Linked DNA regions of Pelodiscus sinensis. The protein of the gene in region 1 interacts with the protein of each later gene in a pairwise test. Links are inferred from orthologs where the notes say so. Each region holds a gene or a part of one and is shown on either strand. Other genes may lie near its edges. The genes, in order: COPB1 and COPB2.

What was found.
Region 2: the proteins of COPB1 (region 1) and COPB2 interact in a two-hybrid assay, tested with the Homo sapiens proteins (2 studies listed by BioGRID, with this or other methods). The link is inferred for Pelodiscus sinensis from reciprocal best matches to the Homo sapiens genes COPB1 and COPB2.

What each region holds. Positions count from the first base shown.
Region 1 is NC_134714.1:109,060,608-109,070,119, reverse strand, and holds the start of COPB1 (coatomer subunit beta), read left to right. Parts: upstream 1-5,039; 5' UTR 5,040-5,211; exon of another isoform or gene 5,212-5,215; intron 5,216-9,512. UniProt on the Homo sapiens protein: The coatomer is a cytosolic protein complex that binds to dilysine motifs and reversibly associates with Golgi non-clathrin-coated vesicles, which further mediate biosynthetic protein transport from the ER, via the Golgi up to the trans Golgi network.
Region 2 is NC_134720.1:11,279,319-11,289,212, forward strand, and holds the start of COPB2 (coatomer subunit beta'), read right to left. Parts: upstream 4,429-9,894; 5' UTR 4,277-4,428; coding exon 4,274-4,276; intron 1-4,273. UniProt on the Homo sapiens protein: The coatomer is a cytosolic protein complex that binds to dilysine motifs and reversibly associates with Golgi non-clathrin-coated vesicles, which further mediate biosynthetic protein transport from the ER, via the Golgi up to the trans Golgi network.

The DNA.
Region 1 (9,512 bases):
ATTGTCTTCTATGCACTTATTAGGCATTTCGTGTTTGGTCATACTGTTTTTCCACCAGGTCTTGTGTTTTTGGACATTTTTGTTATTCTAGAAATGCCTTATACACCTCCTGCTATGCTCTTGCCCCTTTATCCTTTGGTCTTTTACCTGGTCTGCCTTTCATTTCCTTCTGGACCTTGGAACAAGCATACCATTACTTCCCTATTTATCATGTCTGTCCTTTTGAAACAAACTATGACAATCCATACCAATTTTTCAATGGCAAGACTTATTCCAAGTCTCCCTGCTGCCAATTAAATACTTGACCTTATGTACTAACATTCCCGTTCTTTCTGTGTATTCCTTGTGCTCTTTGCATTTGTGTATCAACATGCCAGATGTTGAGTGGATTCCCCCACCATTTTCTCTCTTGTTGCATTTCCCTTTTGCCCCTCCCCCCCAACTCGTCTTCTGTTAAGGTCACCTGCTGGTTTTTTTTTTTAACCTACCATCAGGCTTTTGTCACCTGCTCACTTTTGAACACTGCTGAAAGCCCTCCTTGATAGGTTCATGACTCTGTGTACAAAGATGCTCTTCCTCTTTTGGGGCAAGTTAACCCCATTTCTTCTCAGCAGTTTTCCTTCCCAGAATAGAATCCTATGCTTGAGGAAGCCAAAGCCCTACCATCAACACCATCTGTGTGGCCACATTTTCATCTCCAGGATGCCAGTAGGAGCCTCGCAGGCACACATAAGAGGGAAAGTGGCTCATAAGGGAAATCATGCGCTACTAATCTACTAGATAAACTTAAACAACAAATAGTCTGGTAGCACTTTAAAGACTAACAAAACATGTAGATGGTATCATGAGCTTTTGTGCGCACAGCCCACTTCTTCAGATGACCAGCATATACTAGAGTTCTTTGAGGGGGTCAACAAACATGTGGACAAGGGGGATCCAGTGGATATAGTGTACTTAGATTTCCAGAAAGCCTTTGACAAGGTCCCTCACCAAAGGCTCTTAAGTAAAGTGAGTTGTCATGGGATAAGAGGGAAGATCCTGTCATGGACTGATAACTGTTTAAAAGAGAGGAATCAAAGGGTAGGAATAAATGGTAAGTTTTCAGAGTGAAGAGAAGTAGCTAGTGGGGTTCCCTAAGGGTCTATCCTGGGACCAATCCTATTCAACTTATTTATAAATGATCTAGAGAAAGGGAAACAAAATACAGGACTATGTAGCACTTTAAAGACTAACAAGATGGTTTATTAAATGATGAGCTTTCGTGGGCCAGACCCACTTCCTCAGATCAAATAGTGGAAGAAAATAGTCACAACCATATATACCAAAGGATATAAAATGAACACATTTTTTTAATTGTATCCTTTGGTATATATGGTTGTGACTATTTTCTTCCACTATTTGATTTGAGGAAGTGGGTCTGGCCCACGAAAGCTCATCATCTAATAAACCATCTTGTTAGTCTTTAAAGTGCTACATCGTCCTGTATTTTGTTTTAGCTACACCAGACTAACACGGCTACATTTCTATCACTAGAGAAAGGGGTAAATGGTGACATGGCAAAATTTGCACATGATATCAAAAGTCTCAAGATAGTTAAGACCAAAGCAGACTGTGAAGAGCTTCAAAAAGATCTCACCAAAGTAAATGACTGGGCAACAAAATGGCAAATTAAATTTCATGTTGATAAATGTGAAGTAATGCACATTGGAAAAAATAATCCCAACTATACATACAATATGATGGGGACTCATTTAGTTACAGCTACTCAAGAGAGATAGCTTGGAGTCATTGTGGCATGAGAGGGCAGTGCCCAGCAGCTGGAGGGAGCTGGGATGAGCCGAGGCTTCCCCGGACCAATGGATGGAGGCAGGGTGGTGGTGGGAGAAGGGGGGGACAGGGATTGCTGGGACTAAGAACTGGGGAGGAGAGAGAGAGGAGAAAGCCTGAGATTGGTTGCGAGAGGGCAGTGTGGACTGGAGTGGCTGTCAGGCCAGCTGAGTCTAGGGCAAGGAATCAGATGGGCCCAGGCTGGGAGCCAGGATGGTGTGTGTTAGGGTAGTTTTGACAGGAAGGAGGGAAGGAGATAAATGGAACAAGCTGGGCAGGACTCCTGGGAGTGGTCCGAGTATGTTGGGCAGGCTGGAATCAGAGAGGCGGGTGGGGGGATCCTGCTGGGTGTGCTGGGCACTGACTGTGTAATCGCCTCATGGGGAAGTGTCAGTGGAGCCTGAATCTCCTATTCCTTTGCCTCACAGGGACTTATTGAGGAGCTGTCAGGCGCTATCCTTACCAACTCCCTCACTACTGTGAGCAGGCTCAGGTACTAAGCCCTTCGCAACTGGCTCCCTAACCACGGTGCTGCCCCTCCCACTCTGAGGCTCCCTCCCAAGCATGGTTTCTCCAGCAGAAGGGGCAGGAAGGTTCCTTGTTTTCTGCCTGAACTCTTCTTTTTGCTCCAATAATGCTATGGGGTTCTTGAGGAGAGGATCCCTCCCAGGTCAGATACAGGAGAACAGCAGAGTCAGGCCATTGTCTGTCTGGGAAGCCTTCACATCCCCTGTGTCAGTGCCTCAGTTTCCATTTTTGCCTGCCTGGGCCTGTTCCCTGTGGTTTCACATCCAGGTTGGTGCCAGTCCCACTCCTGCACTGCAGTCTAGTATCAACACCTCTCTCTTGCCAGCATCATAAATCCTGCCCTGGAGCCAGAGCTGGAGATGTACTTCCTGAGAGCTGCCCTGCATGCCGTCTTCACCTCAGGCAGGACACCTCCTAAGGGGAGAGAGATCTTCAGCTCCTCCCTGCCAGGATCAGAAGTGACCTTTGGTCCCTGCTCCCTTGATTGGCTGGAGCTCCAGAGCTAGGGGTTGGTGTGCAGAGATGGAAGAAGATGCAGTGTTGGATCCTTCCCTCGAGGGGCATCATGTTACCCTCCCAGGAGGACTTCTTCCTTCCTTCCTTACATAGCAGGCTATGTTTTGCCTAGGTGCCATCCATAGCAGCTTGGGTCTTCCCTACTTTGTTACCTACGAGGCCCTCCACAGATTCCTCCTAAGGTCATGGATTGAGGAGCCAGCTGGCACCCTGCCCTGAACCCTTGTTAATTGCCTGCATTGGGATCTGAATGAGCCAGGCCAGTACTTTATAGAGACCCACATCCTGTGGCAGGTGTAACCCAAGTTTCCCGAACTCTGACCCATAGCTCTCCTTTGCTTTGCAGAGTCTGAACCTGAATGCCAGGCTGGGGAACCTGCTGGCGAAGTCCTCGGCACAGACAGACCCTGTGGTAAGGCAGAGAGCAATTTTACCTTAACTCTGAGGAAGACTGGCAAGGAAAGACTGGAGGATCTATTTCCCACTTTGTCCTCCTAGTTCAGCCCCCAGTGGACTGTCCTATGTCAGGCAATTGGTGCAATGCACGTGTTTCACGCTCCTCGTTCCTTAGCCTCATCTCTGGGACTTCCCCTCTCTGGCTGCTCTGACCCAAGACTGTCTTTTGAGCTGGGGGTGGGAGTGGAGCACAGATGTACTGAAATCATTGGAAACAGTGAGCGGGGCTGGACAAAGGGAGGGACATTCCTAGGCCAGCTTGGACAACTAGGTCCCAGCTAGGGTTGCCAGGTGTCTGGTACTGAACCGAACAGTTCAGTATTTTCGCCTCCTGTCCGGTAAAAAAATCCAGAAAATACCGGACACCTGAAATGTCCTGTACTTTCTGATTTTTTTCCCGGCTAGGAGGCGAAAATCCCAGGCTATCCAGCTTAATACAGAGAGGTGCTTACCGGATTCTGCAGGTGAACTGTTCAGCCTGACACAGGGAGGCAAGATGGTGAGCGGCCACCATCAGCCTGTTAAGGCCAAAAAGCCTCACCATGCATTTCTTAAAGGGGCCACACTCTGTTTTTTTGTTTTTTGCTTAACAACTCTCAGGGGCCTTTTTTTGGTTCAGTATTTTTTCCAAAACCAGCTGGCAACTGTAGTGCCAGCCTGGCTCAGGCACAGGGCTCGCTCCTCTGCTACAGCCTCACAGCTCTGGGCATGGAGCAGGAGCGATGCAGTGAGAGGGGAGCGATGCAGTGAGTGATGCAACTCCTGGGGCAGGGAGGGGAACAGCCATAGGGAAGGGAAGTCACTGCCCAGATGAAGTGGCTGGGGCTACAGTCAAGCCCAGCAGTGCTGCAATGGGGCAGCTGTGGTGACACAATTGGTGACCGATCAATTTTTCTATCAGTAGTAGGTACCACCAGACATCCTCTTTTTGCTTACTTAGCAAATTCTGTCAGCCAAGATCCCCATCTATCAGCCTCTGCTATTTGCCATGGGTTCAAGACTGCCCTTCACATCCTCTGGTCCAAGACTCCCCTTCTGATTTTTCTTCCCCAGGCAGGCCAGTTCGTCCATTGTCACTATATCTTGCTTGATCCCAGGGCCTGCCCACAACATTTTGGGACCTGAAGCAGGACTCTCAAATGATGCCCCGATGCCCCCTCGCTTGGGCCAAAACTTTGAAAGGTCTCAATTCTGCCTTCTTCCTGCTCTACTCTGCCCATGGTACTGCAGACAGAATACACATGCATCAGCAGCAAACACAATTTTCTACATTCTAGGTCCTAGTGGTGCCCCCTCACAGTCTGGCACTTGAGGCAGCCACCTCAGTTCGCCTCATGGTAAGGCCAGCACTGCATGATCCCCCCCAGACAAGTACATTTCTGCCCCCTACTCAGACCCTGCTCACCCACCGGCTGCGACGTGGCCCCTTTGCAAACTCTCTAAAGAGCAAGCAAGGGCACGTGCCAGGGAACCTGCTCAGTTCGGATGCGCATGCTCAGTACCCTCCTAAGCAGGGCCTTCGGGGCGGGCGCTCGGAGTCGCAGCGTTGGTGTGAGTTGGAGCCACGCCCCCCGCGCTCTGATGAGGACACCCGGGGGCAGTGACGTGGCTGCTCAGCTAGTGCCTGCCTGGAGACCGCGGCTGGAGGTCGCGGTCACGTGGTGTGAGAGCCGCGCATGCGCGGGGCTGTATTCCCCCCTCCCTCCCCCCACACACACGCACCGGAACCAGGCGACTTTGTGCCTTGCTGCGCGCGGAGGAGGCGTGTCCTGCTGCGGCCGCCGTAGTACCGATGTGGCCTGTCGCGGGGAGTGGTTCCACGTCAGCCACCGCCGAACGGGCAGAGACGGGGCTCCGGGGGTCCCGCCGCGGGCAGCACTGGAGGCAGGTACAGCGCTTCCAGGGGCTCGGGGCGTGCTGCGGGCCGTGGTCGGAGAGCGGCCCCCGCCCCCTTCCGGAGCCGGCGGCCTCGCTCCGCTCTGCCGGGGAGTCGGGCCAACGCCTGGCCGCGGGTGCGAGGGCGGGTAACCGGCGCGGCCCCCGCGCAAGGGGGTAGCGCGCCACGGAGCCGGGCCCTGCGAGGTCTGCTCGCGCCCCGGCTTGCTGAGGCAGCGAGGTTTAACCGTCCTGAGATTCGTTTTGCCCCTGTGGGCCCGCAGCAGTTACCCGGGCTGCCCGCAGGATCCCACGCCGCCTGCCCCAGCGCCTCGCACGGGCCGGGGCCGAGGCTGCAGCTTTGCTACGAGTTCACCTCTGCTGGGAAGCGTCGTTCTCTTGGGGCTGAAACTCTCCGTGTCAAGTAAAATTGTGGAGAGTTTCAGCAAAGACCCACTCAGCTGGTGTGTGTGTAACTTCTGGGTTTTAAACGTGCTGCTTGTTGTGATCACGTAGCAGTATCGTTAAATCCATGGCGTTACGGTGCACACAAGGACAATGACAAGTTGTAGCTGTAGGTAGCTATAATAGAGGTTATGAAGTAAATCTTTGTTTACTATTCTTTTTAATAGTACTTTGTGTGCTATTTAAGTTCCTCATCTTGCAAACATTTGAATAACTTTGTGCAGGAGTATTCGCTTTGAAGTTAATGGCCCGTGCTTAAAATTAAGTCAATATGAATTTTCAGGTTTGGGGCCATGGTATTTTTTTTTATATATAGCCATTCTGTGGTATGTTGACATAGAGAATATTATAGTTAGGAGTGTTAGTGTGTAATTGAAGTCATGTGATTGCATCAAAATTTAGCAGTTACATGACTATTACATAGTCCCTGGGGACAGAGCTGGCAGTCAGTGCACTCTGGCCCTACTCATGGGGAGCCCCCTGCCATCCTGTGTTGCTGCCTCTCAGAAGTAGCAGTATGGGGTGGCAGATGGGAGTTGGTCTGCAAGGGGAGCTGGCTTAAAAACAGAGGCAGGAGCGTGGGACGGTATACCCTGTATGCTGCTCCACATCCCACAGAGCAATCTCTGTCCACAGCAAGCCTGGATGTGCCAGGACAGGACAGGACAGGGAGGGTGGGTGGGGGGCAAGCGACTCCACAGAGCCAGTGCTTCTGTCCTCGTCCCCATGCCCCGTTGCCTCTGTAGGAGGCAGAAAGGAGGGGCAGGCAAATCCATATGCGTATTTGGATCCTGCTTGCCCCCTTCACCCTCGGTGCTGCTGCTGGAATTAGCAGTGCAGGGGCAGGGATCCGTGGAGTCGGTGCCCACCTGCCCCCCCTTGCTGCCTCTGATACAAAGGCAGCAAGGGGGAGAGAATGCCTGTAGTCAACAGGATTAACCAATAAGCCTTGGTTTATCAGTTAATCGTGTAGTCATTTACATGTTGACATCCCTAAGTATAGTTACTATCTGAAGTGTTTCATTTTTTCATAAAAAATAGGAAAATGTGAACTAAAACATGCGCTTTAAAATTTTGAACTAATATTGTCGCTAGTTTTCATCAGGGAATAGTTACTTAGAAAAATGACAGTTTTTGAACTGATGATGTAAGCTGGAGATATAAAATCCTGTTTAACTGGTTAATTATATTGTTTAACCAGTTAACCGATTTAAAGAGGGGTGAGTGGGGGGGCCCCTGTCTGCCTCTGGGTGGAATGTCCCCTTCCCTTCCCTTCCTCCTCCTCCCCAGGCAGAGGCTGCTTCAGTCCAGTCAGAGCAGCCCCTGGCTGTAGCCTTCCCACTGCAGGCAGGGGCTGCATGGGCTGGGATGCCAGAACATCCCCTGCTTGTGGAGGTCCAGGGTACATGTCAGGCAGGGGCTGTTCTGGCATCCTGATTGGAGCAGCCCTTGCCTGTGGGGTGCACACCAAAGGCAGGGGCTGTGCTAGAGTAGTCCCCTGGCTGCAGTAGGCAGGGAGCTGCTCCACCACTGGTAAGCCTCAAATCCCTATTATAAGCAATTATAAATTTACCTTGCAATCTTGATATGTTTTAGCCTGTGTCTTCAGAGAGTGCTAAAATATGTGCAGTTGCTGAAAAACAGTTATGCAGCTCTGTAATTCTAGGGAATGGTTTAGGGCATTGGGGCTCAAGCAGAGTGCAAATACCCTGGGGGGATATGCAGGAGAGGAAAAGTCAACTCATACGAATATTTGCCTACTTTTTCAACATGATACATAAAAAGCACTAGCAATATCAGTACAAACTAAATTTTCATACGAACAATGACTTATTTATACTGCACTATATGTGATGCACCAAAACGTATTCCAATTGATTTATAATTGGATGGTAAAAATAAAAGAGCAGTTTTTTTACTAACTGTTGTGATGCTTTTGTATTTTTGTCTGATTTTTATAAGCATTTTTATGCAGTTATGAAATGTTTTATATTAGCACCCTGTTTTATATACACTAATCAACAATACTTGATTATGCTGTCTATGAAGTCTCACATGGGTCTCAAGATAGGGTAGGGGGAGCAGAACATTTGTATTAGATGCCATGTAAAAATTCTCAGCACTTGCTGCATATTTTGTTGCACTTATCATCATCATAAGCTCAAAGTTTCACATTTCTCAAAATGAGTAAGTTCCAGCAGGTGAGCTCATTGGGACACAAGATCACATGGGTAGTTGACATTGATGTAGTCCATTATCATAATTCTGATGGAGCTTTTAACTTTAGCAGACTTTCAGACTTATCACAGTACCCTTAACCATCTTGATGCTGCCTTTTCTTTGCTTTGGAGTGTTTGGAAAAGATATCCACATTGTCCTGTCTCAGAGCCTGAATCCTGATTAGCCTTCAGATCTCTTAGTTTTGAAAGAGAGCTGGACAAATTTTTGAGTGCAATTGTATGAGGGGGTTGCCTGTGATGGTAGTGGGCAGAGCTCAGTAGCCCTGGAGCTCAATTTCAATTTATTTCCTTTGTGCATAAAGCTTATCCTAAAGAGCTTCTGTTTTGTCACCAGGCTCAGGAAGCAGTTCCGGTCTCCCCAATGTATTGGGGAAGATTTTTTTAAAAAAATCTCCTAAAGCATCAGACAATGGCCATGGCTGGAGATGAGACTTGTCGGGGTGGGCTTGGGCCAGGTCTCTGCACGACATTCAGCTTTCTCTCAGATGCTTGACTAGCTGATTATTGCTCATTTACTCAGGATCTAACTGACCACTAGGTGTGAGAGCAGGAAGGAATTCTGTCTTTAAGTCAGATTGACAGTGACATGGCAGGTTGTGCTTTCCTTTGCAGCATATGGGTGCAAAACACCTACTTGGACTAGCTGGGTATATCTCACTTATATATTTCCTGCCATTAGAACATAGGATGGCTGTACTGCGTCAGACCAATGGTCCACCTAACCCACTATTCTGTCCTCTGATAGTGACCAGTGCCATGTTTTAGAAGGAATGAGCAGAACAGGTAATCATCAAATGATCCTTCCCTTGTCAGCTATTCCCAGCTTCTGGCAAAGAGAGGCTGGGGAAGGTGTTCCTGACCATTATGGCTATCATCCATGAATTTATCTAGTTCTTTTTTGAACCCTGTGATAGTCTTGGCCTTCACAACATGCTCTGGCAGTGAGCTCCATGGGTTGACTGCATTCTGTGCAGACATACTTCCTTTTGTTTGTTTTTAAATCTGCTTCCTATTAATTTCATGTGGTGATTTTTAGTTACTGTGTTACGAGTCATGATTTTATATAGACCTCTATCATATCTCTCCCTAGTTGTCTCATTTCCATGTTGAAAAGTCCCATTTTTACTGAATTCTCCTCATATGGAAGCCATTCTATACCCCTAATCACATTTGCTGCCCTTTTCTGAACTTTTTCCTGAATACTGCATGCAGGTATGGTCAAAAAGACACTGGAATTGGAAGTGGACATATCATGAATTTATATAGAGGCAATATACTATTTTTGTCTTACTTTCTATCCCTTTCTTAATGATTTCCAACATTCTGTTGGCTTTTTTGACTGCCGCTGCACATTGAGTGGATATTTTCAGAGAACGATCCACAATGATTCCAAGATCATTTTCCTGAGAGGAAGAGCTAATTTTAAACCCCTTCGTTTTCTATGGCTAGTTGGGATTATGTTTTCCAATGTGTAAGACTGCATTTGTCAACATTGATTCTCATCTGCCGTTTTGTTGCCCAATCACCCAATTTTATGAGATCCCTTTGTAACTCTTCACAATCTGTTTTGGACTTGGCTATCTTGAGTAACTTTACATCTTCTGC
Region 2 (9,894 bases), on another chromosome or scaffold:
ATGAAGATATCGACAAAAGAGACCCCTGCAGAACCCCACTTGTTATGCCTTTCCAGCATGATTACTAATAACTACTCTCTGAGAAAGGTTATCCAGTCAATTATGCAACCACCTTATAGTAGCCCCATCTAGGTTGTATTTCCCTAGTTTATTGAAAAGAAGGTCATGCAAGACTTTGCCAAATGCCTTACTAAAGGCTAGATATGCTACAACCACCGCTTCTCCCTTAGCCACAAGGCTTGATATTCTATCAAATAAAGCTATCAGATTGGTTTGACATGCTTTGCTCTTTACAAATCCATGCTGGCTGTTATCACCTTATCTTCCAGATGTTTGCAGATGAATTCCTTAATTACCGTCTCCATTATCTTCCCTGGCACAGAAGTTAAACTGACTGGTCTGTAGTTTCCTGGGTAGTTCTTATTTCCCTATTTATAGATGGGCACTATCCCAAGCACTGCTAAAGGCAGTTCTACAGACAAGGACCTGGGGATTACAGTTGATGAGAAGCTGAATATGAGTCAACAGTGTGTCCCTGTAGCCAAGAAGGCTAATGGCATATTAGGCTGCATTAGTAGGAGCATTGCCAGCAGATCTAGAGAAGTGATTATTCCCCTTTAAGTACTAATCATGGCACATCTGGAGTATTGTGTCCAATTCTGGGCTCCCCATTACAGAAAGGATGTGGACACATTGGAGAGAATCCAGTGGAGGACAACCAAAATGATTAGGAGGCTGAGGCATATGACTTATGAGGAGAGGCTGAGGGATCTGGGCTTATTTAGTCTACAAAAGAAAAGAGTGAGGGGGGATTTGATAGCAGCCTTCAACTACCTGAAGGGTAGTTCCAAAGACAATGGAGAGAGGCTATTCTCAGAAGTGACGGATGACAGAACAAGGAGCAATGGTCTCAAGTTGCAGTGTGGAAGGTCTAGGTTGGATATTAGGAAAAACTATTTCATTAGGTGGGTGGAGCAGCACTGGAATGGGATACTTAGGAAGGTGCTGGAATCTCCATCCCTAGAGGTTTTTAAGTCCCAGCTTAACAAAGCTCTGGCTGGGAGGATTTAGTTGGGATTCATTCTGCTTTTAAAAGGGGGTTGGACTCAACCTCCTAAGATCTCTTCTAACCCTATGATTCTAAGGCCTTTAAAAAAAACCTGATAAAATACAGAAGTCAATGTTCATACAGTCATGGAACCACAGATTATACTGGAAGAAACCTCGAGAGGTCAAGTCTAGGCCATGCCTGACAAACGTTTGTCTATTGTGCTCTTAAGAATCTTCAGTTACAGGTTTTCCACAATCTGGCAATTTATGCCTATGCTTAACCACCCTGAGAGTTCAGAAGTTTTTCCTAATGTCCCTTACTGCAATTTAAGATTTCTTTTAAAGGAGCACCACAAAGTACACCTCCCATTATACCCTGATTCTGCGTGTCCATCTATGAATCAATTTGTTCAAGAATTCCTCCTAAATAGTAAAAGCTAGAATCACCACAATTTGTTTGCAGCTTCCTTTCATCAAAACTTAAAGCAAGGACAGGGTTTTATTGTGCCAAGACAATGGGATGTGCATGGAATGCGACTGTTTGTGAAACACAAAGTGAGGAGGTGTGATAGCGAGAGTTATACTTACTAGTGACCAGAAGGGGATAAGTAAGCACCCCAGCTCCGGGGAGCAGCTGTTGGCTGGCAGCACAGCTCAATTATCCCTGGGGAGCAGCCACCAGATGCCTCTACCCCCTCCCCTGGGCCTGCTCACATCTCCCAACTCCCTGCTCTGATTCCTGCACCCCTTACACCTCAACTCCCCTACTCTGAAGGACCTGAGGAATGACAGGTAAGTCTTCTAGTAGAACTATAAAATAAATAATAATTCCTCAGTTGAAACATGCTAATTTAGTATGTAGAAGAGTACAAACAAGTCATCATCTGTATGAAATTTTAAGTTGTACTAGGGCTGTCAATTAATTGCAGTTTTGACCACTCAGTTAAGAACAGCATCCAAAATGAAATTAAGTATTTTTGGAGGTCTTCAATGACATTGACTTCAGTTACAACACAAAATGCAGAGTACAGTGCTCATCTTATAATTCAATTAATATATTTGCACTAATAGTATTTTTCAATTCACTACATAAAAATCACTTTAGTAGTCTCTATATTGTGAAAGCACAACTTATAATTTTTTTTGTTACAAAACTGCACTCAAAAATAAACAGTGTAAAACTTTAGCACCTACAAATACATTCAGTTCCATTGCTTATTCAGCCAACTCTTAAGACATACACATTTGTTTATATTTAATGGAGATAATGCTACCCACTTCTTAATTACTAGCCAATTAGCCTGTCATCAGATGGGATTTTCAGGTCTCTCCTCCGCTTTGGTCTTCTCCCCTGAGCCTCCGGTCTCTGTCTCTCTTGGTCTCTCTCCCCTCCTCCTACTGCCTCCCCCTCTCTCTCTCAGCTCTCCTCCGCCTCCTGCCTCTGTCTCTTTCTTTCTCTTCTCCCCTCCTGCCTCTCACTCTCCCTTTTCTCTTCTCCTGCCTCTCTCCCCGCTCCCCTTCCCTTCCCGCCGTGGTGTTTGGCTGAGTGCTGCCCACTCAGCTGGGACACCATGGGGGGGGGGGGGGCGGGGAGGAGGTCAGGCAGTGACGTACACGGCCAGGGGGCGGGGCCGTGTACATCACCGCCCCGCCCCCCCTTTCCCCTCCCACCGTGGCACTCAACTGAGTGCTGCATGCTCAGCCAGGCTGCTGTGGGGGAGCCAGCGGTGCAAGCGGCCATTTGGGCTTTCCCACGGTGGCTCGACTGAGCACGCAGCACTCAGCCGAGCGCCACAGCTGGAGAGGAAGGGGGTCGGTTCGGTGACGTACACGGCTCCGCCCCCTGGCCGTGTATGTCACCACCCACCTCTTTCCCCTCCCACCGTGGCACTCGGCTGAGTGCTACGCCACGGAGCTGGGCAGCGGCAGGGGAGCAAGCGATGCTGCATGGGGAGCACGGACCCCAAACGGCCGCTTGCCGCTGCTTGATCCCCCGCCGCGGGCCAGCTGAGTGGCACAGCACTCAGTCGAACACCACAGCAGGAGAGGAATGGGGGCAGGGAGGTGATGTACATGGCTGGGGCGGGGCCATGTACGTCATCGTTACAGACACTGGGCTACTATATATATCTGACAAGGGAAGAACAGGTATCAAAAGTAGAAAGTAAACATGTGGTCTCACTTTCAGGTGACATGTTAACAGGTAAAATTATCCCTGGAAGTGTAAATGAACAAGTTTGAGTGATTTGCTGAACATGAAGGAGGACAGGCCAGATTCAGCCCACCCAGCCATTAATCCAGCCCATAGCTCACCCTGCCCCACCACTCCACACATGCTAATCAGACCTGGAGGGCGGGAAAGCACGTGACATTTCCTCCCCCACCAGGGCGTGCAGCGCCAGAGGAAACACCAGCTGTTCAAAACAGCTGATGGTTTCTTTTAGGTGCTGTGCACCCCAGCTGGTTGGGGACAGTAGACATTGTTCAATCCCACAACCCATTAAGGAGCATACACAGCCTTCCTCCCCTCACCCGCAGGCAGTGCCTAAAGTACCTCTTCCACCCAAGGCCCATTTCTTCCATCTAAGGCCCCGCCCCCTGGACCTGGCCTGCAGCCACTACCAACAATGGTGAAGTGGTACTCCTACAAAAATTACTGCCCACCACTGGAGTAGCTCTACATTAGTTTATTTTTGAATGCAGTTTTTTTGTACATTATTCTAATTTCATGATAAATTCAACTTTCATGATCAAGAGATTGCACTACAACACTTAATGGGAACTGAATAAATATTTTTTTAACAGAGCAAAATCATGTAATAAAAATAAAGTGAGCACTTTTCTATTCTATTTTGTAACAGAAGTCATATTTGCAAACGTGCAGAAAGTAGCAAACATGCCAACTAAACAAATGGCCTTACCCGTCACTAACACCCAACGTTTAATCGCTTGACAGCGCTAATTGTACTGGCTCCCTTCGGCCTTTCACGCAACCTGCTGCAAAACCAGCCCAATAGCGAGATGGGCTGGGCTGATGCACCTCCTGGGACATCGCTGAGCAACCCCGGGGCGCGCGTTCTGAACCCTGAAGCCCGGCCCGCGGCCTCGGGGACAGCGCCGGCCTGCAGGAGCGGGAGCGCCCCGGCCCCCGACAGCCCCCCGGCGAGGGATCAGCTCTAGACACCCCGCGGGCAGCTCCCCTCGCCCCCCGCCGCGGACTCACCATGGCTCCTCCGCCCCCAACCCGGCAGCAGCTGAGACGTCGCTCTCCGACTCCAACTCAGTTGAACTACGTGGAGCTTCCGGCCCTACAGGTCTCGCGAGATAAGGGATAAAAGCGAGAACGCCGTACACAAGCGCTTCCGCATCTGAAACATCGCGAGGACGAGACTTCCTGTCCCCACGGTTCAGGACCAACGGAGACCAAAGTAGGCCACGGCACCAGCTTCCCTCAGAGGTGCTGTCATCAAGCCTTAGGAGCGGGGCCTGCCTGATTGAATTGCAGTCCATATGTGCCGTAATGCATCCTGGGACACGTAGTCATTGCACAGCGAAGTGAGACCAGCGGCCGTGGGCAGGTGCGCCGCGGCGCATGCTGGGAATTGTAGTTTCTATGCGGGGGTCTCCAAAGCGTCCCTTCTTCATCCCAGTTACAGAAGCGGGGGCATCGAGCCGCCGGCAGGGGACTGTTCACTTCGTGGCCGTGACCCCCGCCCAAGCGCAGAGCCTCGCACTGATGCTCCCCGCAGTTCTCTGGACATTAGCCTAGGGCAAGATGAGGGGCAAAGGGCCATTGGGTCAGACCAAAGGTCCATCTAGCCAAGCATCCGGTCTGCCAGCAGTGGCCAATAATGCCAGGTGCTCCAGAATATAATAGAGAGGCAGCCCTGTTAATCTGATCTTGCAAAAACAAAAGGAAAAACTATGCAGCACTTTAAAGACTAACAAGATGGTTTAATAGGTGATGAGCTTTTGTGGGCCAGATCCACTTCCTCAGATCATATTCTGGAAGAGAATTGGCATGACCATATATACCAAAGGAATACAATGAAAAAGCAAACACATTATTAAACTGACATCAGATTTAGTACAGAAGGTGGGGTGAGGAAGAGGGACGGAGGGAATAGCTATTATGAATCAATGTTAACTCTGGAGACACAGATCCACAGTTTAAGAACTGCAAAACTAAGCATCTCTGATGGTATCTTCTGGACTGAGCACTGAGTCTTATTGGGTACACTGAAAGATTAACCTAAATAATCTATACAGAACCTTCTGGAATCCCATAAGATTGGGTCCATAATCCATGAACTATTGGAATTCATTTACAAAACTTTTCTTAAACACTAGGGCTGTGTCTACACTGGCGCGATCTTGTGCAAAAGCGGCCGCTCTTGCGCAAAAACTTTCTGCCTGTTTACATTGGCCGTGTATTCTTGCGCAAGTAAACTGACGGTCTAATGTATGAAATCAGGGCTTCTTGCCCCAGAACTCTGATGTTCCCACTCAGGAATAAGCCCTTTTGCGCAACTGTTCTTGCGCAAGAGGCCAGTGTAGATAGGCAACATGAATTTCTTGCGCAAGAAAGCCCTATGGTTAAAATGGCCATCAGAACTTTCTTGCATCTCTTGCGCAAAAGCACATACCAGTGTAGATGCTCTCTTCTGGAAGAGTTTTTGCAGAAGAACTCTTCCGCAAAAGAGTTTTTGTGCAAGATCATGCCAGTGTAGACGTAGCCTACATTAATATATTGTTTCATTGTATAAAATTAGAATTTATAATCCCTATTCCATGTTGATATATCTTTGAGCTATAATGTAAATGAAACTATCTTTAGATACATTTTTCCTCAAAAAAAATTGTCAAAAAATCTGATTAAATAAAAATATCTGATTTCTTCTTTTTTTTAATTTGTTGATTTTTATCTACCCTGCTTCTTAGTCACTTGTCACTTTGGTTGTCTTGGTAACTTTCCACTGCTCCAAACCCCCAGCCTCCTGGTTTCCCAACTCTCATACCCTTCTTACTCTAACCATTTTGATCAGTTGTCAAGCTGTAACAATGACTCATCATTGTTCTTGGTATTGCAGAGATTTGACAACCCCATCAGCTCATAGAGGGTACACAGAAGGATATTGCCAATACAGCAGTTTTCATAGTAGTATAATGTCAAATAGAATTAATAAGTTATGCATATGTTTCTCGAATACATCAGAAACTAGAAGGACAATAAAAACCCAGGCCAATTCACAATTCAGGAGAGCTGATATATAGTATTGTAAACCTTGAAATGCTTATAAGTCATGAGAGCAGGAGAAACTGAAGAAAGAGAGCTAACCAAAAACATCAGTGTTGGAGAAAGAAGTGGAAGAGTGTTCTAAGGAGCATATGAGCATACACGAGATTTGTTTTTATCTTTGGGGAACTTAAGATCTTGCACAGAGAGGGAAGAAGACTTAAATAGTGAGTCGGAAGCAGCTGGTGGTTGTTGGATTGCCCATCCTCCTACTCTCCCCTAACCTCGGAGTTTCCACCACACTCAACTTATGTAGTCATATTTCCCATAATTGGAGATATGGTAGGAGTCACCACAACTGGAGTGCAATAGCCTCACAAAGGGAAAACTACCTTATAGCCATAATATCTCCCCTGCCAGATGAGTGAGTGTAGGATTCCATGGAATACAATATGATGGGGACTAATCTGGCTACAACTACTCAAGAGAGAGATCTTGGAATCATTAATAGTCAAAACTGCAAATAGAATGTTAGGAATCATAAAACCAGGGATAGAGAATGAGACAGAGAACATCTTATTGCCTCCATATAAAATCATGGTACTCATATCTTGAATACTGCATACAGATGTGGTCGCCTCAGCTCAAAAAATATATTGGAAAAGGTTCAGAAAAGGGCAACACAAATGATTAGAGGCTTGGAACATGTCCCATTTGAAAAGAGATTAAAAAGACTTGGACTTTTCAGCTTAGAAAAAAGGAGACTAAGGGTACATCTACACTGTAACACTATTTCGAAATAACCAGCTCTGTTACTAAATAACTTAGTCCGCATCTACACAGCAGGCAGTTATTTCGAAATAATGTCAAAATACTGTTAAGCTGGAGGACTTCTTACTCTGATTTCTGCAACCCTCATTGTACGAGGAGTAAGGGAAGTCGGAGAAAGAGTGCACTATTTCCAAATAAATGCTGTGAGGACTTTCCCTATTTCAAAATAAGCTATTTTGAAATAAGATACGCAATTGATGTAACTCAACATGCATAGCTTATTTCAAGTTTAGCCATGCAGTGTTGATACACTCCAAGAGGGGATATGATAGAAGTCTATAAAATCATGACTGCTGTGGAAAAAGTGAATAAGGAAAAGGTACTTATTCCCACAATATAAGAACTAGGGGGTCACCAAATAAAATTAATAGGCAGCAGGTTTAAAACAAACAAAAGGAACTTTTTCTTCACTCAGCACACAGTCAACTTGTGGAATTCCTTGCCAGAGGATGTGGTGAAGGCCAGGACTTTAACAGGGTTCAAAAAAGAGCTTAATAGATTCATGGAGGTTAGGTCCATCAATCGCTATTAGCCAGGATGGGTAGGAATGATGTCCCTAGTCTCTGTTTGCCTGGAAATGGGTAACAGGAGAAGGCTCATGTGCAGATTATCTGTTGTGTTCTCTCCCTCTGGGGTATGTGGCATTGGCCACTACTGGCTGACAGGAAACTGGGCTAGATGGACCTTTAGTCTGACCCAGTATGGCCATTCTTATGTTCTTATATTTTTGTGTTCTTAATACTTCTGGGGGAATGTTGAATAAAAAACTAAACATTCTGCACCCAATATTTTAAAGTTCTGCATATTTTATTTGTTCAAATGATACAATATAATCATGTCAGATTCAATTATTTTGGTAATTATTTCAAAATACCTATGAGCAAGTATGTCTAGCAATATAGAGAACAAAAAAATCCAGGAAATATTCGTCAAATTACTTACTAGGAATATTAATACAGAACTTTGAGTAATAATTAATTTAAATTACAAAATAGACATGTATTTTCTGCACTCCTCAGAAGCCAGTGCAAAGACTTGGGGGAACAGGAGGAACAGAGAAGCTGAGAGAGATGGAAGTAGTGGAAAGGAGTCTGAGTGTGAACTTGGAGGGCAGTTGGATGTAGGAGGGAGAAGTATGGTACTTTGGGGGATAGGAAGAGATTATTAGGGAGTTAGGGAGCCTCCCCCCATGCAGACCCCTACCCTTCCCCATTTATACAGGAACCTGTTGCTGTGTGTCCCTGCATCACCATCCCTCACCATATTTCCCTGCACTCTGACTACAATTCAGCTCCTGGCTTTATGCTGTCACTAACTCCTGTGCCCTTCCTGCAAAAAGTCCAGTGGTTCCTTTCCTGCTCTTATCCTGAGACATTCCTAGAAGTTTCTCTCCCTGTGGCCCCTAGATGGGGGAAATAGGGATTCTCTGACTACGTCTATACTGCAGCTTTCTTCTGCAAAAGCTTATGCAAATGAAGCGCAGATTAGAATATCGCCGTGCTTCATTTGCATAATTAATTAGCAGCCATTTTTGTGCAAGAGGCTTTTGTGCAAAAAGGAGCAGTGTAGATGGCTCCTTTTTGTGCAAAACCCCCCTCTTGCGCAAGAGCCGTTTTTCCTCATTTGTTCAGGAAATGAGAAAAGAAAGTGTCAGTATAGATGTAGGCTGTGTCTACACTGCACCCCTGATTTTAAGAGGAATAAGGGATCTTTCGGAAAAGGCTTTATTTTCTGAAAGATCCCCGTCTAGACTGGCGCTTTTTTCCGGCAAAGCCCCGAGCTGGAAAAAAGCAGCAGCCATGTTTATACAAATGAAGCGGAGGATATTTAAATCCCCGCTTCATTTGCAATAACGATGTGTCTAATCTGCATCCCTTTTCCGGAAAAGGGGTGCAGTGTAGACACAGCCGTAGTGTCTATGTGCTGTCCCTAACTTCAGTGACTCTGCAGCTCCCATTGGCTGGGAACTGTGTCCAATGGGAGCTGCAGAGATAGTGCTTGTACGCAGAGACTGCACATAGATCTACCACCACTACCCAAAGTAGGGTTGACCACTTCCAGGAGTGACATGGGGTTAGGGAAGGCACAGAGCCTGTCCTAGCCTTGCACTGCCACCAACTGGGATTTGGATCTGCTTGAGGTAAACATCACCCAGATTCCACAACTTGACACCCACACACATACTCCCTATCCCCATGCACCAGCCCTGAGGCCCCTCATTCACCCAAACTCACTCCCAGTGCCCATGCGCCTCACCCCCTCCTACAACCTAATCCTTTGCCTCAGACTAAGCCCAGAGCTCCCTCACATACTCCAAACCCTTTGGCTCCAGCCCAGAGCCTGCACTCCCTCCCACACCTCAACCCACTGCCCCCATTCCAGTGAAAGTGAGTGGGGGAGAGCGAGCAAGCGATGGAAGAAGGGGCATGGACTAAGCAGAGGCCAGGGCTTTAGAGAAGGAGCAGGGTATGGTCTTGCCTCAGGGAAAGGGCAGGCAAGGGTGCTTGAGTTTGTGTGATTATGTACCATTGGCAACCCTAGCTGGTAACTCTCTTTTTTGGCATGACAGCAGGTTCTGGTGGACAAAAGGTATAATTGCAGTGCCTTCCTAGAAGAACGGTTTTGGGGGGGAAAGGAGTGGGGAATTCTGCACATGTGAAGTGCAGCAGAACAAAATTCCCCCAGAAATAGTGGAATGGAGAGAGGTAGAACTTTTTAGCAAAGATGATAAAAGAACTGTGAATGTGTAGTAGGGGAAGCCAATGTGGTCACTAGTC